Linked DNA regions of Stegostoma tigrinum. The protein of the gene in region 2 binds, or shares a complex with, the protein of the main gene of each other region. Links are inferred from orthologs where the notes say so. Each region holds a gene or a part of one and is shown on either strand. Other genes may lie near its edges. The genes, in order: ints7, ints4, ints1 and ints11.

What was found.
Region 1: the proteins of ints4 (region 2) and ints7 are in contact, whole or in part, in a cryo-EM structure (PDB 8RC4), measured with the Homo sapiens proteins. The link is inferred for Stegostoma tigrinum from reciprocal best matches to the Homo sapiens genes INTS4 and INTS7. Residues at the interface, in NP_291025.3 of Homo sapiens: Glu536, Met539, Asp540, Arg571, His572, Ala574, Tyr575, Asp578, Ser579, Ser610, Phe613, Arg620, Leu624, Leu627, Gly631, Glu634, Leu635, Phe638, Arg641, Asp642, Arg645, Leu646, Glu648, Leu649, Gln650, Lys677, Leu678, Trp679, Asn680, Val681; in NP_056249.1 of Homo sapiens: Lys137, Asn138, His140, His141, Arg144, Gln145, Gly175, His205, His206, Asp207, Ala208, Ser244, Ser245, Leu246, Val247, Lys282, Thr283, Pro284, His285, Thr286, Thr321, Ile322, Lys325, His326, Gly686, Tyr689, Glu704, Gln707, Gln708, Leu711.
Region 3: ints4 (region 2) and ints1 share a complex: the UniProt entries of both Homo sapiens proteins name them as parts of the integrator complex. The link is inferred for Stegostoma tigrinum from reciprocal best matches to the Homo sapiens genes INTS4 and INTS1.
Region 4: the proteins of ints4 (region 2) and ints11 are in contact, whole or in part, in a cryo-EM structure (PDB 7BFP), measured with the Homo sapiens proteins. The link is inferred for Stegostoma tigrinum from reciprocal best matches to the Homo sapiens genes INTS4 and INTS11. Residues at the interface, in NP_291025.3 of Homo sapiens: Leu159, Asp161, Thr162, Arg167, Tyr203, Gln207, Asp244, Ser292, Gly294, Trp296, Arg299, Lys323, Met326, Ser327, Asp328; in NP_060341.2 of Homo sapiens: Pro183, Trp191, Lys194, Asp212, Gln288, Gln400, Gln404, Lys462, Met465, Ala466, Leu469.

What each region holds. Positions count from the first base shown.
Region 1 is NC_081362.1:54,598,100-54,605,969, forward strand, and holds the start of ints7 (integrator complex subunit 7), read right to left. Parts: upstream 3,104-7,870; 5' UTR 3,044-3,103; coding exon 2,950-3,043; intron 410-2,949; coding exon 280-409; intron 189-279; coding exon 42-188; intron 1-41. Other genes in the region: dtl (denticleless protein homolog), read left to right, coding at 3,226-3,274, 5,152-5,274. UniProt on the Homo sapiens protein: Component of the integrator complex, a multiprotein complex that terminates RNA polymerase II (Pol II) transcription in the promoter-proximal region of genes.
Region 2 is NC_081359.1:108,917,302-108,924,372, forward strand, and holds the start of ints4 (integrator complex subunit 4), read right to left. Parts: upstream 3,088-7,071; 5' UTR 3,003-3,087; coding exon 2,949-3,002; intron 1-2,948. UniProt on the Homo sapiens protein: Component of the integrator complex, a multiprotein complex that terminates RNA polymerase II (Pol II) transcription in the promoter-proximal region of genes.
Region 3 is NC_081376.1:18,252,144-18,259,698, reverse strand, and holds the start of ints1 (integrator complex subunit 1), read left to right. Parts: upstream 1-4,451; 5' UTR 4,452-4,850; intron 4,851-5,384; 5' UTR 5,385-5,435; coding exon 5,436-5,490; intron 5,491-6,569; coding exon 6,570-6,851; intron 6,852-7,555. Other genes in the region: ADP-ribose pyrophosphatase, mitochondrial-like, read right to left, coding at 133-387, 3,850-3,938. UniProt on the Homo sapiens protein: Component of the integrator complex, a multiprotein complex that terminates RNA polymerase II (Pol II) transcription in the promoter-proximal region of genes.
Region 4 is NC_081381.1:29,356,298-29,363,544, reverse strand, and holds the start of ints11 (integrator complex subunit 11), read left to right. Parts: upstream 1-4,046; 5' UTR 4,047-4,150; exon of another isoform or gene 4,151-4,161; intron 4,162-5,733; 5' UTR 5,734-5,817; coding exon 5,818-5,845; intron 5,846-5,958; coding exon 5,959-6,056; intron 6,057-7,247. Other genes in the region: cptp (ceramide-1-phosphate transfer protein), read right to left, coding at 1-428, 3,842-3,960.

The DNA.
Region 1 (7,870 bases), on a different chromosome or scaffold from region 2:
AGGCACAGAATGTTTTGACACAACACCAGAATTTTGCTTACCGGAGAGTGATGGCTCTGGCCACTGGATCATTGCTGTGGATGACTGAGAAGACTCTCTTCACAAATTCATCAACATTCAAGATTTTCTCCAAGTGCTTTTCACTCTGCTGAGTGACTTTCAACACACACATTCTCAGAAAGTTGTTTCTGACAGAGGGAAATAGTTAAATCACATTTGTTACAAAACCTATGTAAAATTAATTGTTTGAACATTCTTTCAAAAGTTGTTGATACTTACCCAACTCTGAAGATGTCTGCAAGCTTCAAAAAAGCAGAGTTTATAAGAATCGGAAATGGGTACTTTTGAAACAACCTAGGGAAACGAACAACTGCCTCACATTGCTCACCAAGTTTCCCTGATCTCAGTCCTTGAAAGATAGGATAAAAACATTGCAATTGGTACTTGAACTCACTACAACACAGTTCAAAAGTTTAGATAATTTAATGTACACAGCAATTCAGAAAACTTCTCATTATGAAAGTCTCATATTTTTAAATGTTTAAGTCTTGAGGTAAAATACAAAATTTCATTTGTAACAGGGGTCACTAACCTGTGTTATATGTTTTATTTGCAAACAGTCTGACCCGTGCTTCTGGCTGTTCATCGAGTCATTCCTACATAAAAGGCAAAACTCTTCCCTAATGCTTCCCATACCAAATCCATGTTACACCATGTCACTGATTTTTCAAAAATAGAAAGATCCCTACCACAACACCTGATGTAAACCATTCAACATAGCAAATCACCTTAGTCTGGACTGCTTCTTCATGTTTCCACTTTACATTTCTAATTTTTAAAAAAATTTTGTTGTAATATACTTTACACAATTAGTTTCAAGAGACAAAGAATAAGACTAGTTCCAATAGGTGGGTTCCTCAAACTGCAGATTCCAATCCATAAGATGATAAGACATAGGAGTGGAAGTAAGGCCATTTGGCTGCTTTGGAGAGGGTTCAGAGGAGGTTTACCAGGATGCTGCTTGGACTGGAGGGCTTATCTTATGAAGAGAGGTTGACCGAGCTCGGTCTCTTTTCATTGGAGAAAAGGAGGAGGAGAGGGGACCTAATTGAGGTATACAAGATAATGAGAGGCATAGATAGAGTTGATAGCCAGAGACTATTTCCCAGGGCAGAAATGGCTAGCACGAGGGGTCATAGTTTTAAGCTGGTTGGTGGAAAGTATAGAGGGGATGTCAGAGGCAGGTTCTTTACGCAGAGAGTTGTGGGAGCATGGAATGCGTTGCCAGCAGCAGTTGTGGAAGCAAGGTCATTGGGTCATTTAAGAGACTGCTGGACATGTATATGGTCACAGAAATTTGAGGGTGCATACATGAGGATCAATGGTCGGCACAACATTGTGGGCTGAAGGGCCTGTTCTGTGCTGTACTGTTCTATGTTCTAAGTCCACTCCGCCATTTAATCACGGCTGATGGGCATTTCAACTCCACTTCCCTGCACTCTCCCCATAGCCCTTAATTCCTTGTGAGATCATGAATTTATCAATCTCTGCCTTGAAGACATTTAACGTCCTGGCCTCCACTGCGCTCCATGGCAATGAATTCCACAGGCCCACCACTCTCTGGCTGAAGAAATGTCTCCTCATTTCCGTTTTAAATTTACCCCCTCTAATTCTAGGGCTGTGCCCACGGGTCCTAGTCTCCCCGCCTAACGGAAACAACTTCCCAGCATCCACCTTTTCTAATCCACATCCAGACTGTATAAATGAAATACTCATGCTTAAGTACACTCCATAAAATCCCACCCTCAGTTATCCATCATGGCCCAATGCGTCTCACACCACCACTCTTGGCTTTATGTGATAGTGCTGATTTGCTCAAGCGACTGAACTCTGCTGCAACCTCTGAATACAAATTTTCAATTGATGGAAATTTACTTCCTGTTAGGTGGAAATTTCAGAGAAAAGGAGGGTCAGCAAGTTGTCAAGTGTGGCAGTAAATCCTTCACACACAGAATATTCATCCATTAACCAGCTCAGTGCAAAATAACTGATGTAACTCTCATGAGTTTTGGTGAAAAAAGGATACGTCAAATGAAGCAGTACGCAAGAAGAGCAGCTCCTTAGATAAGCAAAGAGAAAGGCAGCACCTCAATGAAAGTGGATGGGGAGTAAGGAGGTAAAACGTGACTCTGGGCTGGGGGCAAGGGAGACAGACTGATATGACTTATGAGCTTACAACAAAGGAAACATTCAAAATAAGTCTATTGTATATGTTGCTTGACTGCTCAGACGTTAGCATAATGTCAATGTTGCTTAGACTTAACACTTCAAATTGTGCTCATGTAACAACTTTAATGTCTGTTTTTTTTCTCTTTTATCTACAGCAAACTTCAACATAATTAGGGTCATCGGCTATGATCTGTGAATGATAATTTCAACGGTATTTTGACCAGGATAAGAGCTTGACAAACTTAAATAAAAGGTAAACACAAAATACAGATTTATCAATTTATCCTTGGAAATAACTGGAGGATTTCAAACACTGTATAAGCCATTCAAACCGGTCAGAAAAATGTTTATGATTTGTTTCGAACAAATTTGAGATTTGATTTAAAACTCAATAAAGTAAGTTTCAATCCTAATAACTAAGGCCGGGATTTTAATACGCTACTTTTCAGAAAATAACAATCAGTTCACATCCATCAACATCTAATGGGCAGATGCAAGATTTTAGAGCCAGTTCCAAAGACCTCCACAATTCAGCGAGAAAGTTTAAACGTTTGGAGAGTCTCACTGAGAGTAATAATAAACACCGAAACGCAGCTGCTGCCCCGAGACGGTCCCAGATATTCTACTGCACGTTTTAAAGGCAGTTTGGAAAACGTTCCGCCGGTTTGTTAAATCCGAGAAAAGAGGAGGGCCAGCGGGCAAGTTGCGCCCGATACGTACCTTTATCCAGCTCCATCAGAGCAGAGTTGGCGTCCATTTCCTGCTCTCCATAACCACCTTCCGACAAAAACGGCCTAGCTGCTGCCAGCGCCATGATTAAACACCTACTCTAACCGCAGGGAACCAACCGTCTTCTCCCAGTAATGCACCGGGAGCGGAGGTAACAGCGGGACGACAAACTTCCGCATGGCGGCCAATCAGCGCGTGTGACGTCAATTTGGCGGGAGGTTGCAGAGCGCGGGAGTTGTGTTGAATTCAGTCGCCGGGAGTTTTAAGATGTTGTTCCATTCTGTGCTCAGTAGCAGAATTTGTAACAGAACGCGAGGTGAGAAACTACTCCAAGGTTATAAAAGGATTGTGTGCGCCTTTCTTTAAAGACATCACGGTTGTGATGTATTTGTGAAACATTACGTAGTATTGCTTGTTTAAGGTTTATTCATCAGAATGCTGTGCTCAGTGTTTTATTTCGCCAAAACTAATCTCAATCTTCGTAGCTGTAAGTAATCATTTAAAAATAGAAATTTGTCTAAGTTTTGTTATTTGAAGTGCAAATCAATCAAGTGACTCTATAATTGTATTGAAATGCGAAATTCCTGCAGGAAGTTTTATTGTTTTGGTCTCAGCTACACGAATTTTCGAAGAGAACAGCTATTTCGTCTACTATACGCATCACTGTCGTTGTCATTAACATGTTGGTAGGCTTCTAAATCTTACGAGAAAGCACGAATATAGAGCTACTTGACTGGATATTCTAAAAGGAGTTCAATTAAGGCTGTGGTTGAATGCTTTTTGAACGGGGCACAACAACATTTTTTAAATTGGGTGTTAGATATTTCTCGTATTGATAAAAGTTTTTTTATTTACAAAAAGAGGTATCAAATTGTAATAATTACTGCTCACCTGCCACACATTGCCTTTCAATTTACGATTTATATCGCGCTTGTTAGTTTAATGGTGCAGAGTGAAGTTGGATACAAAATCCCTCTCTGTCTCTCCCTCTCTCATATATATCTATCTCTATATATATATATATATATGTATATATATATATAGCTCTACCTCCCCCTCTATATACCTCCATTTCTCCCTCTCTGTCTTGCTCCCTCGCGTGCGCGCTCTTTATATCTGCCCCCCCCTCTGTATCTCTCTGCCCCCCCCCCCTTGCAATTCACATCAAGCAGATCTGCTAATGTGGTACATGTATCCGTTGTTCCCGTTGTGGCCTCCTCTACATCGGGGGAAACCAAGTGGAGGCTTGGGAACCATTTCGCAGAACACCTACACTCGGTTCGCACCAAACAACTGCAGCTCCCAGTCGCGAACCATTTTAACTCTCCCTCCCATTCCTCAGACGACATGTCCATCATGGGCCTCTTGCAGTGCAACAACGATGCTACCCAAAGGTTGCAGGAACAGCGACTCATATTCCGCTTGGGAACCCTGCAGCCCAACCATATAAATATGGACTTTACAAGCTTCAAAATCTCCCCTCCCCCTACCTCATCCCAAAACCGCCCAGCTCGTCCCTGCCTCCCTAACCTGTCTTTCCTCCCACCTACCCCCCCCCCCCCCCCACCACCACCACCACCACCACCACCACCACCACCTCAAGCCCCAACCCCATTTCCTACTTGCTAGCCTCATCCCACCCCCTTGACCTGCCTGTTCTCCCTGGACTGACCTATTTCCTTCCTACCTCTCCACCTACACTCACCTTTACTGGCTCCATCCCCGCCTCTTTGACATGTCTGTCTCCTCTCCACCTATCCTCTCTATCCATCTTCTATCTGCCTCCCCCCGTTTCCATATTTCTGAAGAAGGGTCTAGGTCCGAAATGTCAGCCTTCCTCCTCCTCTGCTGCTTGGCCTGCTGTGTTCGTCCAGCTCTATGCCTTCTAGGTGCATGCATGGTTAAATGTCTCAAATCATTCTGAATGATGAATGATCGCTTTTTTGTTAAAATGATGAAACAAATAAAAATTATACCCTATTCATGTGGATATCTCTTTATGGAATTTACTTATCTTAAAATTTCCTTTTGGTTGCCATTTTTCTTAGCCTGCACAGCAATGAAACATTGCTGTAAATTTGTATGCATGGAATATCTTATACAAAAGACAAGTTGCAGTCACTGCAGAGTTTTTTTTTTATTGTCAGTTGCTTGTCTGTTAGTTTCAACAAAATTTTATCTTTTTGTGTTTAGAGTCTCACAGCTACTCGTTAGAGACTCTGCTGCAGTATTACCAATGTAATCGGCGAGATGAACACACTTCATACGGTGACCTTGGGGCAGCAGTACCTCCATTTGGCTGCTTGTGGTCTACAGGTAAATTGACCTCTCCAGTGCTTGACTGAACTTCTTGCACACTTACTGTGTCTCTCTAATTTTAATTAGTTAAAAGCATACATTAGTTTGGAATCATGAAGTTACAAATTTGATTGCCACATTCGTGAAGTTACAGCCTGATTATCCAGAGCAAATAAGTGGTGCCTATGAAATAAATATTGTCCTCCTCAGTGATACTGAGGAACAACATGTGGACCAGTTGGATATTAAAAGTTCTGGGTGTGAGTTTGCTCGCTGAACTGGAAGGTTCGTTTTCAGACGTTTCGTCACATTTTTTTATTTGAAAACATATATTTTATTCATAAGATGTACGAAAAAATAAAACATATTTATACACCTACCCAGTCATGCAAGCCGCTTTGGGTTACCCGGGGGTACTTACACCAACGAAAGAAAAAAAAAGCAAAAAAAATACCCCGGCAGTTGTCACCCCGTACAGTCCCAGTTGGCCCCCTGACCAGTTGGGGAAGGCGCCAGCCGGGCCCAGTTACCAGATAGGGCCCTTTTTCTCTATTCAGGACGAGGGGTTTCATACCGTGGTATTTCCCCACTGCGCCTTGGCGGCGGCTGCCCAAGCTTTAGCGCGTCCCTCAGCACGTAGTCCTGGACCTTGGAGTGTGCCAGTCTGCAACATTCGGTCGGGGTCAGTTCTTTCAGCTGGCAGACCAGCAAGTTGCGGGCACACCAAAGAGCGTCTTTCACCGCATTGATGGTCCTCCAGGTGCAGTTGATGTTGGTCTCGGTGTGCGTCCCGGGAAACAGCCCGTAGAGCACGGAGTCCCGCGTCACAGAGCTGCTCGGGACGAACCTCGACAAATACCACTGCATCCCCCTCCAGACCTCCTGCGCATAGGCACACTCCAGAAGGAGGTGATCGACAGTCTCGTCCCCCCGGCAGCCACCTCGAGGGCAGCGTGCGGTGGTGCAGAGATTCCAGGCATGCATAAAGGATCTCACTGGCAGAGCCCCTCTCACCACCAGCCAAGCAATGTCCTTGTGCTTGTTTGAAAGTTCTGGCGATGAGGCATTCTGCCAAACGACTTTGGCAGTCTGTGTGGGGAACCATACGACGGGACCCACCCTCTCCTTTTCCTGAAGGGTCTCGAGGATACTACGTGCTGACCACTGCCTGACGGCCTTGTGGTCAAAGGTGTTTCCTTTCAAAAATTTCTCCGCAAAGGACAGGTGGTACGGAACGGTCCAACGGGAGTCCTATTCCTCTCCAAGGACTTGAGGGCTCTGGTCAGCTCGTCCAGGGATATCGGCCGGTCTAGCCACTCCCTCGTGCCGTCGCCTAAGACCTCCGTGATAGACAACAGGAACGACTCGGAGGCCGTGCTGTCCGTGGGCTTTGTGTCGTACGGTCCGGCATAGAAGGATCTGCTGATCCTCAAAATGTCGGGCCGAGACGACGTCACCGAGCAGTCGTCCTCCTTCAGCCGACTAAGCACAGAGCTCTCTTTGTGCACCTTCTGAAAGAAGAAACGCAAGCACGTCTCGTCCTGCTCCACGGAGCGGACCCTGGACTGGAAGATTATCCTGGAGGCCTCCGCGGCGAAGAGCGACGCTTGCTGGCCCCTCACCTCACGGAGGTCCTCCGTGACAGCGACCCCCATCAACTGCAGAAGGAGCAGGTTCTGCACCCTTTTCTGGAGTCGCGACAGCTTTCCCCGCGTCTCTCTCGCCTTCCGAACACCCTTGAGGGCAAAGAACCTCTTGATGTTCTCCTTTACTGTCTCCCACCAGTCGCCCGGAGACTCAGAGGGGTTTCACGGTTCTCCAACCAGTGTACTCCCTCTTCAGCTCCTCGACGTTCTCTGGGGTCAACAGAGTCGTGATGAGCTTCCACGTCCCCTTGCCGGCCGGCCGGTCATCCTGTAAGTGACAGTCGGCCAGCAGGAGGTAGTGGTCAGAGAAGAACACCGGCTCGACGCCGGTGGACCTGACTCAGAACGCCCGTGACACAAACAGGAAGTCTATCCTTGAGCGAATAGACCCATCTGGCCGCAAGCAGGTGAACCTCAGCTGCGCTCCGTCTGCAGGGGTGCTGAGGACGTCGAGCAGCTTGGCGTCCTTCACCGTGCCCATCAGGAATCTGGACGTGACGTCCAGTTGACTCTTCCCCCCCCCACCCGCTGTCCCCACGCTGGATCCTCCGTCTGCATCGATGATGCAGTTGGAGTCTCCGCCCAGGATGACCGGCCTGGACATAGCCAGCAGGTGTGGAAGCCGCTGCAGGACGGCCAACCGCTCATTCCATACCGCTGGGGCATACACGTTGATCAGCCTCAGGGGAGCGTTCCTGTAGGTGACATCAGCCACTAGGAGGCGCCACCCCCCCCCACCACCTCCTGAACTTGAGCGATGGTGAAGTCGCGCCCCCGCAGCAGAATAGCCAGGCCCGAGAAGCGACAGTCGTTATCCCCCGACCAGATCGAAGGCCCACAGGTCCAGGCGCCGGACCATTTCCGTACCTGCCGAGGTGTGGTATCCCGCACTCCCTGCAGAAACAGGAGGTCCGCCTTGAAGGTGGTCAGTTAGGCCAACGTGGATACACATCTTGCGGTGGACTTGA
Region 2 (7,071 bases):
AACTTGTCTGTCTCCTCTCCACCTATCTTCTCCTCTATCCATCTTTGATCTGCCTCCCGCTCTCTTCCTATTTATTTCAGAACCCTCTCCCCATCCCCCTTTTCTGATGAAGGGTCTAGGCCCGAAACACCAGCTTTTGTGCTCCTAAGGTGCCGCTTGGCCTGCTGTGTTCATCCAGCTCCACACTTTGTTATCTATGTTAAATGCCATGCTTCTGTTCAAATTCACTGCTCTTGGTTAGGATGGTTCTTGAGATCATAATCTCTTGAATCAGATGATTGTGTCACCAACTGGGAGAACCTCCTTGGTCTAAGACAAATTGTGGCATGGGACTCTTTTCTTCAATCTGCAAAAGACAGATTCAGCTTCAGTTCAGTGTCTTGTTTGCGCTGTGGAATTTCTGACTATGCATCATCCCACTGGTACTGCAACAAATCAGCTGGATGACAAGGACAACACTCTCATTGGAGTTTCAATCCACAGTCTTGTAGCACAGACGGGCTTAGACCAAGACAAACAATACCATTTCAATTAACAGTAATAGCAGGCCACCTTTTATAGGATTTGTCACTGCACAGAATTTGTAGCATGTATTCTTGGGGAGCATTCATGGGTCTTGCTGGTCATGTACAACTATGAAACCATCTGGGGCACTACATTCAGCATGGAGCACTGATCCTCAACATGGGTATAATGGCCTTGGGGGGAATACAACACAGATTCTGCAGAATGACACTGGGAGAAATGGGGGATAATATTTTTCAGTTATTCATTGTATGCACTTTTTGCTAGCTGGCCAGAATTTATTATCCATCCCAAATTCTTATTGCAAGTGCTGCAGTATATGGCATATAGATACACCCACAGGGTTTTAACATGACAACGGTAAAGGCAAGGCATATATTTTCAAGTCAGGTTGGTGTGTAGCCTGGAGGGGAATTTGCAGTGGTGGTTTTCCCATGTATCCGTTACCCCTGACTTCCTAGGTGACAATGGTCAAAAATCTGGAGGATACTTTCTAAAGAGCCTTGGTAAGTTGCTGCAGAGCAGCTTATAGATACACATTATCCACTGTGACTGTGCCTTGGTGGTGGAGCGTGTGAAAATTGAAAGTGGAAGATGAGGTGTCAAATTAAACAGGTGGCTTTTTCTTGAATGGTATTGAATCATCTGGTGTTGTTGGTGCTGCACGTATCCACATAAGCAGGGAGTATTCCACCATACGCCTGACTTATGAACTGTAGAAAATGGGCAAGTTTCAGTTCCTGGTCAATAGTAGCTCCCAGGATGCTGATAGTGGGGTACTGAGTGATGGAGTGACATTGATGCTAAGGGCCAGATTCTTTTTGGTGATGATCATGGTCTTGCACCCATGTGACAAACTTTACTTGCCACTCACTAGTCCAAGACCTGCTGTTGTACAGGTTTTGCTGCAGGTGGATGTAGAATCATAGAATCCCTAAAACATGAAAGCAGGCCATTTGGCCGATCTGGTCTGCACCAACACTGCAAACAGCATCCCACCCAGAGCCCCCACTCCCCCCCCCCCCCCCACACACACCCCCTATCCTTGTAACCCTATATTTCCCATGGCAAATCCACTTAACCCAGACATCCCCAGGCACTATGGGCAATTTTAGCACGACCAGTCCACCTAACTTGCATTCAGAGATAATGGGAACTGCAGATGCTGGGGAATCTGAGATAACAAAGTGTGGAGCTGGATGAACACAGCAGGCCAAGCAGCATCTTATGAGCACAGAGACGCTGCTTGGCCTGCTGTGTTCATCCAGCTCCACACTTTGTTATCGCCTAACTTGCATATCTTTGCACTGTGGGAGAAAACCACAGCATCTGGTGGAAACCCTTGCAGACATGGGGAGAATGTTGCCAAAACATTGAATGTATTCAAGAGGTGACTAGATATGCCTGGCCCCAGTGGCCTAATGGAGAAGGCACTGCCCTCCCAAGGTAGGGATTGCGGGTTCAAGTCCTGTCTGGAGTGCACTGAATTCTGTCGTGAAGCCCTGCTTGTTTGCAGTCGGTTCCACGGTGTAATGGTTAGCAATCTGGACTTGGAATCCAGCTATCCAAGTTCGAATCTTAGTTGGACCTCCAATTGCTGTGTCCCAATGAGTTGCTTAAAAAGGGGCAGCACGATGGTTAGTGCTGGGTTTGATTCCAGCCTCTGGTGACTGTCTGTGTGGAGTTTGCACATTTTCCCTGTGTCCGCATGGGTTTCGTCCCACAGTCCAAAGATGTGCAGGTCAGGGTGGACTGGCCATGGGAAATTGCCCGTAATGTCCAGGGATGGGTCTGGGTGGGACGCTCTGAGGGCCGTTGCGGGCACCACATTATAGGAAAGACACAAATGCACTGGAGAGAGCACAGGAGCAATTTGCAGGAACAGTTCCTGGAATGAGACAATTCAGTTATGAGGATAAGTAGGAGAAGTTGGAACTGACCTCCTCGGAAAGAGGGCAGGGGATCTGATAAAGGTTTTCAAAATCATGAGTGGGCTTTAAAATGTAACGTACAAAATCTACAATTTTAAATTATATTCCAACCATTGATTCACTTTGGAGCAAATATCTACTTTTCCACGTTAAAGTACTTTCAAGGCTCTCAAATTTTGACAGCAGTAACTTTAAACCTCTTGCAAAACAGATGTTTTTAAATAATCAAACCTATCTAAACCTTCAAGATATTGTACAAAGTTAAAGCTGTATGGTTACGAAAGGTTGCCCTGGCACAGCTGCTGAACAAATATCCACGTTCCACATCAAAGTTATTTGTTTTAAAAGGGGCCTTGGGTTAGGCCTCAGGCCTAAGCAGGAGGCCGTTTTCCTGAGGGTCGGTGCGGGAGGGGGAAGGAGCTGAGCAGGAAGGAGAAGGGGCAACGGCAGGGCACAACCAGCTGCAGTCTCAGGAGAGGAAAGCCGCCTGACCTGAACCACTTTGGTGAACTCCTCATACACCCGCTTCTTGAGATGCGCCGCCATGGCGTAGCGAAGCAGAAGGCACAACAACGACAAACTCAAAACCGCGCGGCAATTGCCGAATTAACGGCTTCTAGGCTCTCAGAGGCTTCCGTAGGCATCCGTGGACCCGCCCCCCCCCCCCCCCGAAACCACCGGACGGTCCCCGCCTCTCGCCCTGGCCCCGCCCCCTCGCCCTGGCCCTTCCCCTCGCCCTGGCCCCGCCCCCTCGCCCTGGCCCTTCCTCCCCAGCGCACATTGGCAACGCCCCCTGGCCCTGGTCCCACCCTTTCTGACCCCACCCTCCACCTTTCCACATACTGTCACCCCTTCCCCTCATTCTCCGTCTTTGCTCCTCTCTCCCCTTCCACCTTCACCCCCTTTCCCCATCACTTCTCTCCCCATTCAACCCATTCTTACTCTGTCCCTCCCACCACTCCGCTCCCTTCTCCCACTTACCCTCATTCTCGGTCTCTGTCAACCCCTCCCTCTCCGTCCCCTCATTCTCCTTGCATCCCTGTTCCCTTTCTCCCCCTTGCCCTCTCTGCCCACTCCCCTGCGTCCTGTCCCCTCCCCACTTACCTCTGCTGACCCACGCCCCTCCTATCCCCTCTTCCGCTCCACGTCCCATCCTTTCGTTCCCCACCTCCTCCCATCCTTTTCATCTCCCACCATCTCCCATTCTCTCCCCACAATCCATTCTGCCATCTCTCTCTCTGCCATTTCTCCCTCCACTCCATCTTTCCCGCCCCCAATTTCCCATCTTTCCCATTCCCCCCCCCCTTCTGCCTCACCCCTCTCATAACAGATGGTGGACTTTGAGTTCAACAGACATCTGGAATTAAGACTTTAATGATGACCATCAATCCATTGTCAATAGTTGGAAGAACCCATATGGCCCATTAATGTCTTTTAGAGAAGGAAATTGCCATCCTTACTTGAAAACAACAAAATATTGGAGATCACAGTGCATCAGACAACATCCAAGGAGAGAGAGCAAGCTAATGTTTCGAATCAAGATGACTCTTCATCAGAGATCGAAACGCTAGCTTGCTGTCTCTCCATGGATTCTGTCTGATCTCCTGTGATCTCCAGCATTTGTTGTTTTCAGTACACATTCCAGCATCTGCAGTAATTTGCTCCGGTCATCCTTACTTGCTTTGCCTTTCCTGTGACTCCAGACTCACAATGCAGTTGAGAGATAATGGGAACTGCAGATGCTGGAGAATCCGAGAGTTTCCCGCACCTCATCCCTCACACCCCGTCCCCTCAATAACTGCCAAAAGAGAATCTCCCTTGTCCTCACATACCACCCCACCAACCTCCAGATACAACGCATCATCCTCCGGCACTTCTGCCATCTACAATCCGACCCCACCACCAAAGACATTTTTCCATCCCTACCCTTGCCTGCCTTCCGGAGAGACCACTCTCTCCGGGACTCCTTTGTCTACTCCACACTCCCCTCCAACCCCACCACACCCGGCACCTTCCCCTACAACCGCAGGAAGTGCTACACTTGCCCTTACACCTCCTCCCTCACCCCCATCCCCGGCCCCAAGGTGACTTTCCACATCAAGCAGATGTTCACCTGCACATCTGCCAATGTGGTATGCTGTATCCGCTCTACCCGTTGTGTATCCTCCTCTACATTGGGGAAACCAAGCGGAGTCTTGGGGACCGCTTTGTAGAACACCTCTGCTCGGTTTGCAACAAACAACTGCACCTCCCAGTCGCGAACCATTTCAATTCCCCCTCCCATTCCTTAGACGACATGTCCATTCTGGGCCTCCTGCTGTGCCACAATGATGCCACCCGAAGGTTGCAGGAACAGCAACTCATATTCCACTGGGGAACGCTGCAGCCCAATGGTATCAACGTGGACTTCACAAGTTTCAAAATCTCCCCTCCTCCTACTGCATCCCAAAACCAGCCCAGCTCGTCCCCTCCCCCATTGCATCCCAAAACCAGCCCAGCTCGTTCCTGCCTCCCTACCCTGTTCTTCCTCTCACCTATCCCCCCTTCCCACCTCAAGCCGCACCCCCTACTACCTACTAACCTCATCCCACCCCCTTGACCTGTCCGTCTTCCCCGGACTGACCTATCCCCTCCCCACCTACACTCACCTCTACTGGCTCCATCCCCACCTCTTTAACTTGTCTGTCCCCTCTCCACCTATCTTCTCCTCTATCCACCTTCGATCTGCCTCCCCCTCTCTCCCTATTTATTCCAGTTCCCTCCCCCCATCACCCTCTCTGATGAAGGGTCTAGGCCCGAAACGTCAGCTTTTGTGCTCCTGAGATGCTGCTGGGCCTGCTGTGTTCGTCCAGCTCCACACTTTGTTATCTCACAATGCAGTTGACTCTGAACTGCCCTCTGATTAATAGGGAGTGGGCAGTAAATGCTAGCCTTGCCAGCGGGGCGTTCATCCCATGATGAACAAAAAAAGACTGTAAGTTTCTGATTCCTGGAACCATTCTTGTAAATCTGCCTCCAATCTTTCCTATAAAGTGGTACTCACAACTATACACCATCCTTCAGCTGAGATGTAACAACAGATCCCTGTTATTTTCACAGGAGATCAAGTGGTACAAGTGCAAAGAAACATCTTTATTACATAGAACTGGAGTAAGAACAAAAGGACAAATGGCTGGATGTTCCGCTATAATCCATTTGCCATCCTGACCTGAGGTGAACAAGATCTTACTAAAGCAACGACCACTGCTGGAATTCTATGAACGATCTTGTGCCCTTATCCAAGGGAAGATTGTTTTTGGAGGCAGTGCAGAGAAGGTTCAGTAGGATGACACCAGGTATGGGAGGACTGTCTTATGATGAGAGGTTGAATAGATTGGGCCTGTACTCATTAGAGTTTAGAAGAATGAGAGGAAATCTAATTGAAATGCAAAAGATTCTGAGGGAACTGATCGGATCTATGCTGACAGATTATTTTAATTCATAGGATATGTTCGGAGCAGGGGCATAATTGCAGAAGAAGGGGTTTCACATTTGTTATAGAGATGAGGAAGAATTTGTTCTCTCAGTGGGTAGTGAATCTGTGGAATTCTTTAGGAACCTCGGAATTGGAGAAGGCCATTCAGCCCTTTGAACCTGATCTCTGTGATTCAAATAAATCATGGCTGCTCTGTGGAGTTAGGCCATATCTGGTCGGCATGAACGAGTTGGGCAGAAGAGCCTGTTTCTATGTTGTATATCTCTATGACTCTAAGTCCACTTTAACAGCATCCATCCACTTGCCTCTGGCCACCACCGTTGTCGCCTCTCCAAACATCCCTATGAGGTTTGTCAAGCATGACTGACCCTTCATTATAGACTTCAATAATTTCTCCACCACCAGTGTCAGCACAAAGGGCTCTCAAGGGCGTGTTGTTAAATGGATTCAAGATTGAAACAGGCAGATTTTTAACCAGTAAGGAAATCAAGGATTATGGGGGAAAGATAGAAAGTGGAATTGATCAGCAATAATCTTGTTGGATAAGGCTGAAGGTAATGAAAACTGACAGGAACTGAGAATAGAGATAATGGGAACTGCAGATGCTGGAGAATCCAAGACAATAAAATGTGAGGCTAGATGAACACAGCAGGCCAAGCAGCATCTCAGGAGCACAAAAGCTGACGTTTCGGGCCTAGACCCTTCATCAGAGAGGGGGTTGGGGTGAGGGTTCTGGAATAAATAGGGAGAGAGGGGGAGGCGGACCGAAGATGGAGAGAAAAGAAGATAGGTGGAGAGGAGAGTATAGGTGGGGAGGTAGGGAGGGGATAGGTCAGTCCGGGGAAGACGGACAGGTCAAGGAGGTGGGATGAGGTTAGTAGGTAGGAAATGGAGATGCAGCTTGAGGTGGGAGGAGGGGATAGGTGAGAGGAAGAACAGGTTAGGGAGGCAGAGACAGGCTGGACTGGTTTTGGGATGCAGTGGGGGGAGGGGAAGAACTGCGCTGGTGCATCTTCGGTCCGCCTCCCCCTCTCTCCCTATCCAGGTGCTGGTGTTGTGATGTGATAATGGGAACTGCAGATGCTGGAGAATCCAAGATAACAAAGTGTGAAGCTGGATGAACACAGCAGGCCAAGCAGC
Region 3 (7,555 bases), on a different chromosome or scaffold from region 2:
GACAGACGGACAAACACATTCATATGCTGGGTGAAGAGACCCACAGCCAGATATTGAAGAGATTCCACTCCCCGCTGTCATCTTGTCCTCTCTCCTTCCAACCCACCCTTCCTCCCTCGTCCCCCATATTACCTGTAGTCAGGATCTGCCCACACAGGACAAGCCTGGATACTATCTGCTGTGTAATCCACTGGCTCATATTCTGGCCATGCCACGCTCCAGCTAACATAGCTGTCAGGGACAGGGAAGCGCTGGACCTGAGACCCTGGATACGGGGACTTTCGTGCCTTGACGTGAATCATCGATAAGCTTTCTGTATTCTGATGTGAGGCGTCGCACACTGGGTAAGTTGCAGGCTTATACCAACCAGACTGGGCAAGGCAGACACTGAAATAGAAACACTATCATTTAGAACTTATTTCTTGAGAAACCCAACCCCAAAGAACTCCAGTCTCTCAATACATGAACCACTTCTACCCCAATATAATGACTACCGTTCAGAAACTTCCTCAATGATTGAAGTCACAGACAAAGTCATGAGAAACATTGCATCAGTGTAAGTTCCTTACTAAATTCTGGCCCATTTCGTGCAGTGAATTTTTTCAGATTTTCTTGAATTGACCTGGGTTTGAGATATCCAAATAATTGCAACTGAAATCTCCTAAACACACTTATTTAATGCATCATTCAGTATACAACGACATCCGTTTCAAGGAATCTTTCAGAAACCTGCCCCTCCCCATCTACCTCAAACCCTTCATCTTGCTGTACCTGTTCAAATCCTTCTCCAGTCACTTAGAATCTCATTTTCTCCAGCTACAGATTTAATCTTCAGTGATCTGCCCCACCCTGATCTGTGTGGATCGAGAGGCTGCTGGAAATCTCTTTGTCAGAGACTGCTGGTGGTCAGAAAGAGTCAGCTTTTGTGCTCCTGAGATGCTGCTGGGCCTGCTGTGTTCATCCAGCCTCACAATTTGTTATCTTGGATTCTCCAGCATCTGCAGTTCCCATTATCACTAACCTTTGACTGGAGTTCTTCCTCAGCAGAATGCTATGAATAATTCAATAGCACTTGGTCACTGGGGAGTGGAGTTGCATGTGCTGGATGAACACAATCGATTCCTTTTTATATTTCTGTTGCTGAGATTGCTGTCAATTAATGAAACTTGCTGACAGAAATAAAAAGCTCAAATGTTCCTGCCTCACTTCCTCAAAACAGCCACGTACATTTACAGGCATGCAAGAATTTTTCTAAAATAAAAGGCTTTTTGTTTGTGGCTGTTTAGCAATTTTTATAGCTTTTTGAAAATGATCCAGTTCTCCCGTCTGTGTCTGGTCTGCAGCAACATGATAGCCAACTGCCTCTTCAAGAACTCACAAACAGTGGCAGTGTTAAAACTGTTCAACCACAGAAGGCATTGTTGTCAGCCGTAGCTCAGTAGGTAAACATACATCCGTTGGAGTAGGAAAATGGTGGTCTTATTTCACTCCAGAGACTTGACCAGGCAAAATATAACCTCATTTGCCAATGGAGTACTGAGGAAGTACTGCGCTGTTTGAGGTTCTGTCTTTGGCAATGAGATACTCAACTAAGATCCCGCCTGCCACCTGAAGTAGATGTAAAAGATCTCATTGGACTATCTGGAGAGAAGGTACAAAGTCAACAAATTCTGGCCAATTGTCATTCCGCAATAACATCTAGAGAACAGATTACAGTAAACTCCCCAGTATCTGGCATGCATGGGGACTGGGTGTGCTCATTACACAAATCGATTGGTTGTGGCTGGGACCACTCATAAATACAGTCAGTAAGGTTTGATCAAAAGGAGAAAGAGAGGTGACTAAATGATCAGGTTCCAGCAAGCAAATCTACTCCCGCTGGTTTTAGTTTTATTCATTTGTGGGACACGGGTGTCACTGACTGGGCCAGCACTTGCTGCCTGTTCCTAGATGCCATTGAGAAAGTGGTGGTGAGCTGCCTTCTTTAACTGCTGCAGTCCCTATGCTGTATATAAATCCACAATACAGTTAAGTGGAGGCAAAACATCCAGAATTTTGATTAAACAACAATGAAAAATCAGTAATATTTCCAAGGCAGGATGGTGGGTGGCTAAGAGTGAAACTTGCAGTTTGGTAGTGTTCCTGTGTATCTGCTGTCCTCGTTCTGCTAGGTGGAAGTGAACATGAGTTTGGAATGTGCAGTGCTTCTTCTTGTTGTTACACATAGCCAATTATAGAGTTATACTGCAGGGAAACAGACGATTCGGTCCAACCAGTCCATGCTGAACTAAACTAGTCCCACCTGCCTGCTCCTGGCCCATATCCCCCCCAAACCTTTCAAGGTCTTGTTCTTATCCATACATTGTAACTGTGTCCACATCCACCACTTCCTCAGGAAGTTCATTCCACACGCAAACCATCCCCTGTATTAAAAAAAAACTGCCTCTTACATTTTTTTAACTCGATCTCCTGTCACCTTAAAAATGTGCCCCATAGTCTTGAAATTCCCCCTTGTAGGAAAAAGACAACTACCATCAACTCAAACTTGCAACATGAAATGGAAGGAGGAGGATTTCTGTTAAGTGCTCTCACGTGGGCACCCTGATCTGGACAATGGGGATTTTACAGTGGTATCAGAGATAATGGGAACTGCAGATGCTGGAGATTCCAAGATAATAAAATGTGAGGCTGGATGAACACAGCAGGCCAAGCAGCATCTCAGGAGCACAAAAGCTGACATTTCGGGCCTAGACCCTTCATCAGAGAGATGAAGGGTCTAGGCCCGAAACGTCAGCTTTTGTGCTCCTGAGATGCTTCTTGGCCTGCTGTGTTCATCCAGCCTCACATTTTATTATCTGGGGATTTTACAGTGTCTGGTTACTGTCACATTACCGTTTGTGGGCGCTCACGCTGAATATATTCTCTGCTGCATCACACCGGTGACTGAAGTTCAAAATTACTTTATTGAACCTAAATGCACTTTGACTTATCCAAAGATGTGAAAAGGACAGAATGAAAGAGCATCTTTCTGTTTCAGCTGGTTTCTGCGTGTAAGTGTATTTTTCAACATTTCCAACTGAATTTTCTTTTCCACGTAGAGGAGGGAATTGAACAGATTGCAATATCTCCATTACCGGTCCTCGCTATAATACCCAAACTTAGCCCTGCCTGGAACATCCTCATTTCCAGTACACATGCAGGACTGAGTTCACTACATGCACTACTCAGAGTTAATAAACAAAACTATCTGGAGTAACAGATAATGAGGGTTGATCTTATAAAGGTTTATAAAATTATGAGGGGCATCGATAGGGTAAATAAACAAGGTCTTTTCCCCAAGGGGTGGGGGAAACCAAAACTAGACAGCGCAGGTTTAAGGTGAGAAGGAAAGATTTAAAAAAGGGAATTAAGGAGCAACTTTTTCACACACAGGGTGGTAGCTGTATGGAATGAGATGAAGACTGGTACAATTACAACATTTAAAAGACATCTGGATGGATACATGAATTGGAAGCATTTAGAGGGATATGGGCCAAATGCTGGCAAATGGGTCGAGATCTACTTAGGATATCTGCTCAACATGGATGAGTTGGACCAAAGGGTCTGTTTCCTTGCTGTACATCTCTATGACTATTTGACTGCACCACTGCGATGAAAAATTCTAATGGAGAAAATATACATAGTGCAGATGGAGGCCATTTGGTCCAAGATGGAATACTCTGTTTAACTCAGAGGCTTCACCCATCTGGGACACAGCAGTACCTCCAAAATCAGACACTGACTACAGACAGAGACTGATCTTCAAAACCAAGAGTGGGGTTCAGACGTGGCATCTCAGAGTCACTGTACCTGTCTCTGATCCAAATCCAGCATTGGAGGGCAGTGCAGACCATGCACACACTCATTGTCCTCCATAGATTACGTTTGGGAAAACTCATAATTAGTCAGATTCACAACGTTTCTGCTCACATCCAGACCACCTAATATAATTCCAGTCCCATCACACCAACAGCTTTCAATTCTTGTTTTCCACAACATTTACACTCAGCCTGCTCACAGTCACAGCCCAACACTTAGATGCTAACACTTAGCCCTGTTTATATTAACTGGTCAGGTTCCCACTTCCAAACCTAAAGACACAGCCTCCTGCTCAATCCTTGGCTAATCACGTCCTTGGAGCCTACAACACTGACACTGACACTCCCTGACCACACTCGTCCTTGGTCACACTCAGACTCTGACGTTGTCTCTCCCTGGTATTCGATCATCATGGCCCCACCCTCTGCAGGAATGGGCCAATCACAAGCGGAATCCATTTGAATGGCAGCGGACGAACGTCGGCCCTCTGCCCCACAACTTCCGGCCCGCGGACAAGCCGCTCCGGGTGGGACTGTTTCCCTAGGATAGTGTGTGCTCACGGAAGGGGGTGGGGAGGGAGGAAGGGTGTGACACGGCACCGGGAGAGAGAGGAAGGTGTCAGCCCCGGGCACGTAGAGGGTTAGCCGGGCCCAGGGGAGGCCTGTCACTTATCAATTACTGTACACGTAGGCTACCCTTCGCCTTGTGAGCGTTAACTGGTCGAGAGCCCTTTAATTGGGTTTAAAAGACTGATCAACATTTATGTAGCGCCTCTTACATCCTTAAGGCGCGTTACAGCTAAAGGCGTGCAGCCCCTGTTAAAATGTGGGAACATTGAAGACTATTTGAGGACAGTACGATCCCGTAAGCAACATTGTGACACTCATAGTGATTTGGATTTCCATATAGTAGTTGCCCAGAGCCAGCACACGAAGGAAAATTCCCCTGTTCCTTTTGTAGTGACCCAGGAGATCTGCTTGCCCACCTGAAAGGTTAGTTGGGTCTCGGTTAAATATCTCACTGAAAATGTTGCATTTCTAATCGGTAGCACTCCCTCCAACCAGTATTGGTGTGCCCTCCTGGATTTTAATGCCCCTTTTAAAAAATCTGGAGTGGGGTTTGGAGCCTAGATCTACCAATTCAGAAATGTCAGGACTGCCACTGAGCACCAGTTGGTGGTACACAAATGTGTGCTGCAATCTGACGTATTGCATTGACCACTAACCTAGCATGTACACGGTGAAAAAAATTCTTTTAAAGTACAAATTAAAACTTGTTTGATGACACAGCTGTTTTCCATGTTCAGTATTAAGTTTGTTATAAAGAACTTGATTAGTCTTAATATTAGTCTTTTTGACAGTATGTCCATAATTCTAATAAAAGGTGTGCACCTGAAACAGGGATCATCTTTTCCAGATGTGAATGGATTGTTGAGACCTTACTATTTTATCTCACATTTTCCAGCACTTGCAGATTTATTTGTTTCCTTTTTAATGTTTTTGTGCATTTGTATTTGTTGTTGACAGGCTGCACACATTCATAACAACAAGGGAAAGTGAAGTGTATAGTTTACCAGGATGAACCGATCAAAAGCTGTGGCAATCCGGCGCCCCAGCAGTGCCAAACCTAGTGGTGAGTGCGGCATCTTATAGAAATTATGTAGATTTATTTTCTTTTGCTAAACATTTGCTCCTTTGTTTAACAATGTAAAATTTGAAAAGACTTGCCTGAAAGCAGGTTGTGTTTGGTGTACAAGTAGTCCATCATTTTGACTTTACCTTTCCATTATGAATTCCTTAAAACTTGAACAAGGATTCTGAGACGACCAGTTTTCAAACTTTACAATGAACTATGGTGAAAGATAGGATAGCATTAATGCCATGGATCTTCAAAAACTTGATGTTTACACTGTCCAGCTTCACCTTCATTTGGAACTGTTGCCAAGGTGAGCACGGTGGCTCAGTGGTTAGCACTGCTGCCTCACAGCACCAGGAGCTCGTGTTTGATTCCACCCTTGAGGGACTGTCTTAGTGTGGAGCTTGTACATTCTTCCCGTGTCTGCGTGAGTTTCCTCCTGGTTTCCTACCACAGTCCATACATGAGCAGGCTAGGTGAATTGGCCATGCTAAATTGCCCAAAGTGTGCAGGGATGTATAGATTAGGTAGGCTATGGAGTCTGGGTGGGATACTCTGAGGATTGGTGTGGACTTATTGGGCTGTAGGGCCTGTTTCCACACTGCAGGGATTCTCTGATGTTTCTATGATGATGATGATTGTTACAGGAGGAGGCTGCTTAGCCACTTGAGCCTGTTCTGCCATTCATAAAGCTAGTGGCTGGTCTTAATTCCATCTCCTGGCTTACATTCCAAAGCAATGAATGCTTTTCCCTTAAAAAAAATTTAGTTTCTGTTTTGAGAGATTTTGCAGAAAGATGAGACTTTCCACCCGTTTTCCTGGGCTGGTTGAAAGGTCAAGATAGGCAAACTCCTCTGATTGAAAATTTGGGGAAGCCATCATTAATCATGTTAGCTTCTGTTCCTGCATGTGATCTCTGTTATCACTTCTGCTGTTCAATCCTAAATTTGAAGAGCTTGACCTTACTGGCATTCACTTGAAGGGTGATAGTTGGAAAAACCAACCTGCAACCTGTTTATATATGCAACACCACCTGTCTCTGTTTCTCTTGTATGTTGAAATTTTATTTATTTTAGGGCATCCACCCCCTGGGGACTTTATAGCACTGGGGTCGAAGAACCAGGCCTCTGATGCCAAGGCATCGGGAACACTGCTGAAGCCAGCGCAGACTGGATTGCAGTCTGATAGAAAACGTGAGGGATCGTCAGCCATGACCTCTACCTCTGGCCTTTCAAAACGCCCAAAGATATCTTCCACTCCACCATTGAGTGCGCTTGGACGCCTGGCAGAGGCTGCAGTCGCAGAGAAACGGGCCATATCACCTTCTATTAAAGAGCCATCTGTCGTACCAATTGAAGGCAAGTATTGGCTGCAGGGTATTGAGTGATGTGCACCTTTCTGCATGATCTAATACCTGAGATTAAGAATAGCATGCTCTTGCTTCTCTGAGCATTTTCACTATACTGAAATAAAAGTTCATTGCACAGTTTGTAACTCCAAGTCATTATTTCCCAAGATTTCGAAAAAAAAACCGGAAATACTTGCACTTGGAAGTAAGAATGACAGTGATAGACTTCAAGAAGATATGGACAGATGAACAGCAAATTAAATTTTCATGTAGTGAAGTGTGAAATAATAGATTTTGCTGGTGAAAATGAAGAAAAGAACTATAAAATAAGTTTTTAGAGCAGATGCACGATCAGACGCACTTAGAGTTTAAGTGCAGGAATCAGTGAAGATAGCGGTGATAAAAGGATATGAACATAGAGATACAGATACCGATGCAGGGATGTTATAAAGACCTTTTTATAAAATGTCGATATGGCCTCAGCAGCAGTAATGTACCAGATTCTCAGCATCACATTTTAGGAATATACTGAAGGAAAGAAAATCATTGAGTATTGCAAAGATTAGTGCGAAGCCACAGGATTGGGAAAGTTTTAAAAACCAACAAATGACACCAAAACAAAGGGGGAAGATAAACTTTGAGGGTAAACTTGCAAAAAATATGAAAATGAATGGCAAGAGCATTTTTATAAATCTAAAATGAGGAGAGAGGCTA
Region 4 (7,247 bases), on a different chromosome or scaffold from region 2:
CCACCTTCTCTGTTGGGCCCATATTCATAACCTCAAAGAAGTTTGCTCGGCTCGGCAGCATATAAAAGGCAACAGTTGCAGCTTTGCGTACTATCCAGGGATGATATTTAGCTAGGGAATCCTGGTATGCCTCTGTACAAAGAACAGAAGTTTTGCTATCATCAGAAGCTACTCGCAGTTTCTCCAGAAACAGCTGTAGCCACCTGAGGGCACGATGGAGCCGCAATAGTGTACGACAGCCAGAATCCCAGTGGTCACCCCGCTTTGTCAGATCCACAAGCTTGTTACCAACTTCATACTTCACCATTGATTGAATCGTCAGATACTGTTGACCATTCGCACCACGTCTGTAGTGTTCCAGAATTTGGATTTTGGTGACAGCGTCATGTGAAATAAAGGAAAAGGCCGATCCCAGACTGTTCATAAACCTAAAGTGTAATAAACAGACATATTTTAGTGTTTAGAACAGAGTTAAAAAGTAAATTACTGGTCTAACAAAAATTAAAAATAAAAATTGAGAAGCAATATTCTTAAAGTAACCACAATACTCCATTGCCAAGTGGGTTACTACTTCCAGAATTCAAATTGTAGCTACTTTTTTGGGAGTTTATCTTGCAAGATGCAGGTGAAAGATCTCAATTTCTACCCCTGATTTTCCACTGATCTGGGAATGGTAGAAACTGTACTTTGTTGATTACAGAGGGAACGACTGCTACATGTTACACCCAGGCTAGAAGCACCCAACAGATTGGGACTGGGCCCAGCAATGTTGTTACCATTGGTTGAGCAGTCTGCTGACATGAACCCTCAGACGCACAGGGGATGTAATGAACAGTGCTATGCATTAAGTGTAATGAGCAAGAATCAATACATTCAGGAGAGGAACACAAAGTTGGCGAGGAATGTTCATGTACATCAGTTGATAAGACACTGATGCCAATGCTACTCTGATATTTGTCAAGTGAAATTCACACATAAGCAGGTCACATGCATATTCCTTACAAATGCAGCTATTAAATGAAATCAAATTTAATGTTCTAGATGTTGTGACCTACTGACAATAAGTTTACCACAATACATGGTATAAAGAATCTTCTAAAGGGCCATATCAGATTCAAAACATTAACTCTGTTCTTGTCTCCACTGATGCTGCCAAACCTGCCAAGTTTCTTGAATGCTTTTTATTTCTCATTTCCAGCATCAGTGATATTTTGCTTTAATAATAAAGTGGAAAGTTGACAGAACACAAAATTTGGGTTTAAAACTTCCAGTTGTGTGTTAGAAAGGCACCTGTTTGAACATATACTCTATTATTGTGGAGAAATGGAAAATGTTACCAATATCTGTTGATCTACAATGTCAGTGAAGTGCAAGCACTGATCATTGAGCATCACAACTCAATTCACTGAAAACTGAAAGTACCATTAAGTAAAACCTCAATTTAAAAGGATTAGGGCATCTCTGAATAGAATTCACTTGTGTTTCTTAGAATGAAATAAAATACAAGTAAAATAGCAGATTTGGGAATGCATTAGAAGTTATTGGCTCAGATATTACCATGGTAACATGAGTGAACCCGACAGCAAGTGCTGCCTTTACTTAATTATACCAAAAGCAACTTCAGGAGTCTGGAAATGCACAAATTCATTTAGAAAAACAGAAGTTATTTCAGTGATGCTATATTTTTTTTTTCCAGAAAGTGCACTGTGAGGACTCACCCCTCGACTGCAGTCGCTGGCAAAACACCAAAGAAGTGACGTGAACTTTTTATTCTGGTCTCATCTCACTCATTGTAAAAATCCCTTGAGAAAAAGTTACACTTTATTGACCAAGATGTGTTTGGATCTTAATGGCAAAATAACAACTACAGAATACTAAAGACTGGTCCTGAAAAGCTAATTTTATGTTTGCAAATTGTCAAATTTCATCTTTACTATCAAGAGTTCTACATATTTAAAATAAAATGTATTTAAATCTAATCATGTATTTTACAACAAGATATTTTAACAGCTTTAGTGACCTTGTTTGCAATTGATAAATCCTTCAAGGCAGTTGTTTGCCTATCCTGCTTATTTACAACATTGCTGCTGCTGCACACCAAGATTTCCTTTGACTTAATGTCTGATACATTAGGAAAGAAGAAACATGCCATGGAGAGTGCTACATCTTTGTAGGCAGCATTCTTTGACATCACCAAATATTCTTGCTATGTTACTCAGCATGAAAGCTAGGCCAATGTTTTGGGAGAAGGATAACAGCCTAAAACCTTAAGTTGTTCTTTTCTGAAGCAAGAGGCACTCTACAATTCCAGATAATGCCAATATTTTTGCTTTTGGTAGGTTGGGAGATAATGGTTTCACATACACAATCTATAAAAGGTTATCATTAATGCAGTATATTGGTCAAGTGAACAATTTACAACAAGGTGATGCTCGCCATACAGCATCGCAAAAAGAAATAGCTCTCATTCTCATTTTCCCCAGATTAATTTTGTGAAAACAGATTTGGCCCCTCACACTAAGTAAATCGATTATACAAAAATCCAAATTAGGAACAGAAGGAGGCTACTCAGCCTTTCTATTTAGTTTCAAAATTCAATAAAATCATGGTTGATCTGTTCATGTTTTGAATGCCACATTCACATCTACTCCCAATAACCTTTGATTTGCTTGCCTAACAATAAAAAAACATTACTTACTATCTCCACCCTAAAAAATACACAAGGACATTGCCGCCATCCCTCTGAGTCAAGGTGTTCCAAGGTTACACAACTCTCAAAGAAAAGAAACCTAAAAAAACTCCTAGTTTTTAAACACTGCTTCAGTATAGTCATTAATTAACACAAGCTAGTTCTGGACTCACCTAGAAGAGAAAATATCTTTTCCATATCCATCCTGTCAAGATCTTATTTATATTTTAATCAACCTGTTTGGACAGGTTATGACAAATCTTTGGGACAAGTAGGACTTGAACCTGAAACCAAAACCATTTGAGCTAGAGTAAGGGACACGATTGCACCACAAGTTTGTGAAAAGAAGGATCTTATATTTCAATCAAGTCACCCATGACTCTTCTAAACACGTGAAAACATGAGCAGTGTGTCCAACCATTCCTCAGAGGAGGATGCACACTTTCCTGGTATCAATCCAGTACACAATTGTAAACTGGGGTGGCACAGTGATTAGAGATAATGGGAACGGCAGATGCTGGAGAATCCAAGATAACAGTGTGGGGCTGGATGAACACACCAGGCCAAGCAACATCTTAGGAGCACAAAAGCTGACATTTCGGGCCTAGACATCAGCTTTTGTGCTCTTAAGATGCTGCTTGGCCTGGTGTGTTCACCCAGCCCCACACTTTATTATCTAGCACTGCTGCCTCACACTGCCAGAGACGGGGCTTGATTCCAGCCTCTATCTGCATTATAGGCATTCAGATTCTAAGCCTCCTCTGAACCATCTCCACCCCACTTACATCCACAATTTTGCAAGATGTGGTCTCATCAATGTGCTAAAAATTTCAAGTATAACATCCTTACTTCTGTTCCTCACAGAATAAAGGATAACATTCCATTAACATCTTAACTAGTTGATGCACCTACATTCTAAGTTTTTTTTGCGATTCGTGCACCAGAATATCAAAACTCCTCTGCACCTCAGAAATACGTTCCACTTAGGTGGCATTCTTCGTTTGTTCTTCCTAAATTAACATCACGTTTTCCCAGATTACATTCCATCTGCCAGATATTTATTGAAAAATTCAACTTCTCCACATCTGTCTGCAGTCTCCATAAGTTCTGTTAGCAATAGAGCGAAAGGATTTTTTTTTGAAAGTCACTCACTTTACCAGTCCTTTCCATCCTTCTAAGTAATGTTCCTGCAGGATTTCTCCGTTGTCAGTCAGACATTCTTTGAAAGACCCCAGGACCTCAGTCAGACTGAACCGATCTGGATGAGCCATTTTAGAAACTGAAGCGAAGGAGTAGGGTGTTTTATTGACCAATCACAGCGCGGCTGTCCCCGGCCGGAAGTCCCACCTCAGCACCAGCCCACCTGGATCGAGCATCTCATTGGCCGTTGCTCTTGTCAGTCGGGTGGGTGTGCTGGGTGTCCTGGAAACGAGGGCCTGCTCGGCCTTGCTGTCGCCCGAGGTAGGCCTGAGGTTAGCGTGTTGTTTCTGCCCGGTTTGTGACAACAGCGTTTAGGGGAAAGGGAAAGGAGTAGGACGGGAATCGCTGTAATTGAGAGGGCTCCTTGTGTATTTAAAAACCCGTCGCCATCATTATGCGACGGGAAAGTGATAATAAATTGAGTTGTATTTTTAAAATTGCAACGTATGAATGTTAACCTGGAGACTTTAAGTGTGATTTTTTTTTGTTTAAATCAGTGAAGGAGGCCGCAACTGGCTTGCTGTCCTGTTCATTGTCACTGTCTGGAATTTTGCTGCTCCTCAGCAAAGCTCACTGTAAACCAGTGTTGTGTACAATCTATTCCATTAAATTTGACAGTTTTTAAAAATAGTTCCCAGTTTTTTTTAATGGGACGTATGTTGCTGAATTCAAATTTTTGAATAATTCAATTTTAAAGGCAGTAGATGACTGAATTGTTAGTGGAGGGCATAGTGGTGAAACAGTTTTTTTTCCAACAGTCTGGCTGCTTCTTTGTTACCTTTAATGTTACCAACAGCAGTTTTTTGTATTTTAATTATCCTTTGCATGCACTTAAAATTTTTCAAGCTCTCTTAGTGGGCTATTGATTCCTGTTCTCTGAATTGTTAGTGCAAGTCTCTGGAATTGTTTTGTCCAGTAATGACTAGTGTATACCTGTTGATTTTATGAAGATCTTCATTAGTAGGTGGACATGTGCATTCAAGAGGCTGTAAGAGTCGATGGGTTTCAGGGCTTTGTACACTCAGACATTGAGTATAAAAACAAAGTTAATTTGTTCAAATCATGGTACAATGATAAGAAATATTCCATTTATGTAGTAACTTTCTCTTTGAAACATACCTCAAGATTCTTCACAGATCATTGTAGCAGGAATAAAATTGTGACCATATGCTCAAAAATTGAATCTTTCTTCACTGAAATAAGGAAACTTAGTTAGAGATTTCACAGAGATTTTTAAAATTCTTAAAAATTTTAAGGCGTAAATAGCGCAGAACTGGCATGACAGGCTGTTGAGGTTAAAACTAACTGTTTAAAGATTAATTGAACAATGTCAAGGCATTTCTTCCCCCAGAAGATAGTGAATGCCTGGAATTCAATATCCCAGAGAGTTGTGTAGCCTAGATCACTGAAAGTATTTGAAGAGAAGGTAAATAGAGTTTTAAAATATCAAGGAGCTGAGAACTCTGAGGAGCAGGTACAAGAGAGGAGCTGAGGATTAGCGCACACCAAGCCATGATTTTATTGAGTAGCAGGATGGGATTGAGGGTACGAATAGCTTACTCCTGTTCCCATTTCTTAGGTTCTTGCTTTCAGTATTTGAAAATGACATTTTATATTAGGATATAGCTGTTGAAAAAAATGGTTGTAAAGTTCTGTCAGTGACTTGGAGGTGAAGTTCACGCCTCTAGACTTTAACACACAGTACATACCACTGTCTCCCTGTTGCACAATGATACTCTCACTTCTTCTCTCATTTCTTACCCTTACATAGGAGAGACCAAACTGCTGGGCCTTGAAATCTCCTGAGATTTTGTTACTGATACAGTCTGCTTTAAATTTATCAGATCCATTTTGCTGAATTTAAGATGACTAACTGATTTCATCAGTACATTCTTGGAACCACAAGTTGCAGTGAAATCTGATTGCAAATGCCAGAAATAAAGGTCACACCTTTAGGTAAGAATTCAAATATTCAGCTGTCTCTAGAATAACAAGGAGCAGCATTATTAGATATGATTGTTAGTAAGAACTTAGAAAACTTGCAGAATGATGAGTCCTTGCTTTTTCAGGGGCTGGCCAGGATGTGGGCCGCAGTTGTATCCTGGTCTCAATTGGTGGGAAAAACGTGATGCTGGATTGTGGAATGCACATGGGATATAATGATGATGTAAGTATATGGAACAATCGAATGGTAGAAAATACAGGAAAACACAGGCTTGTGAAATAAAGAGATATCTGGCCAGTGTTTTACAGTTTGAGTTTACATGGTTCATTTGTCAATTTTTGTGTATCCGTGTTTCCTTCAATGGACGTGGACCCAGTGATTGTTGGTCATTGCTGACTTAGTACAGGTGTTGAAGTGTTCCCAGTTTTCGGTGTCACATATCACTGGAGGTAGAGCCATCACCATAACAGGAGTAGGTTGTAGGTTTATTAACCACTGTAGTTATCACTACAAGCATTGATTGTCACCGTGACCCAGGAAAGGTCCATAGTTTCTGTACTCTTGCTGTTGGGTCTAAATAGTATATGAATAAACCAAATACAACAGGAGTCACAGATAGTAGGAACTGCAGATGCTGGAGAATCTGAGATAACAAGGTGTAGAGCTGGATGAACACAGCAGGCCAAGCAGCATCAGAGGAGCAAGAAGGCTGACGTTTCGGACCTAGACCCTTCTTCAGAAATGGGGAAGGGGAAGGGGGTTCTGAAATAAATAAGGAGAGGGGGGAGGCGGATAGAAGATGGATAGAGGAGAAGATAGGTGGAGAGGAGACAGACAGGTCAAAGAGGCAGGGATGGAGCCAGTAAAGGTGAATGTAGGTGGGGAGGGAGGGAGGGAGGAGATAGGTCAGTCCAGGGAGGATGGACGAGTCAAGGAGGCGGAATGAGGTTAGTAGGTAGGAGATGGGGGTGGGGCTTGAAATGGGAGAGGGGATAGGTTGGAGGCGGGGACGAGCTGGGCTGGTTTAGGGATGGAGTAGGGGGAGGGGAGATCTTGAAGTTTGTGAAGTCCACATTGATACCATTGGGCTGCAGGGTTCTCAAGCAGAATATGAGTTGCTGTTCCTGCAACCTTCACATAGCATTGTTATGGCACTTCAGGAGGCCCAGGATGGACATGTCATCTGAGAAATGGGAGGGGGAGTTGCAACGGTTCGCAACTGGGAAGTGCAGTTGTTTAGTGCCAACTGAGGGTAGGTGTTCTGCAAAGCAGTCCCCAAGTCTCCGCTTGGTTTCCCCAATGTAAAGGAGGCCAGAGTGGGTACAGTGGATGCAGTATACCACATTGGCAGATGTGCAGGTGAACATCTGCTTGATGTGGAAAGTCTTCTTTGGGCCTGGGATGTGGGTGAGG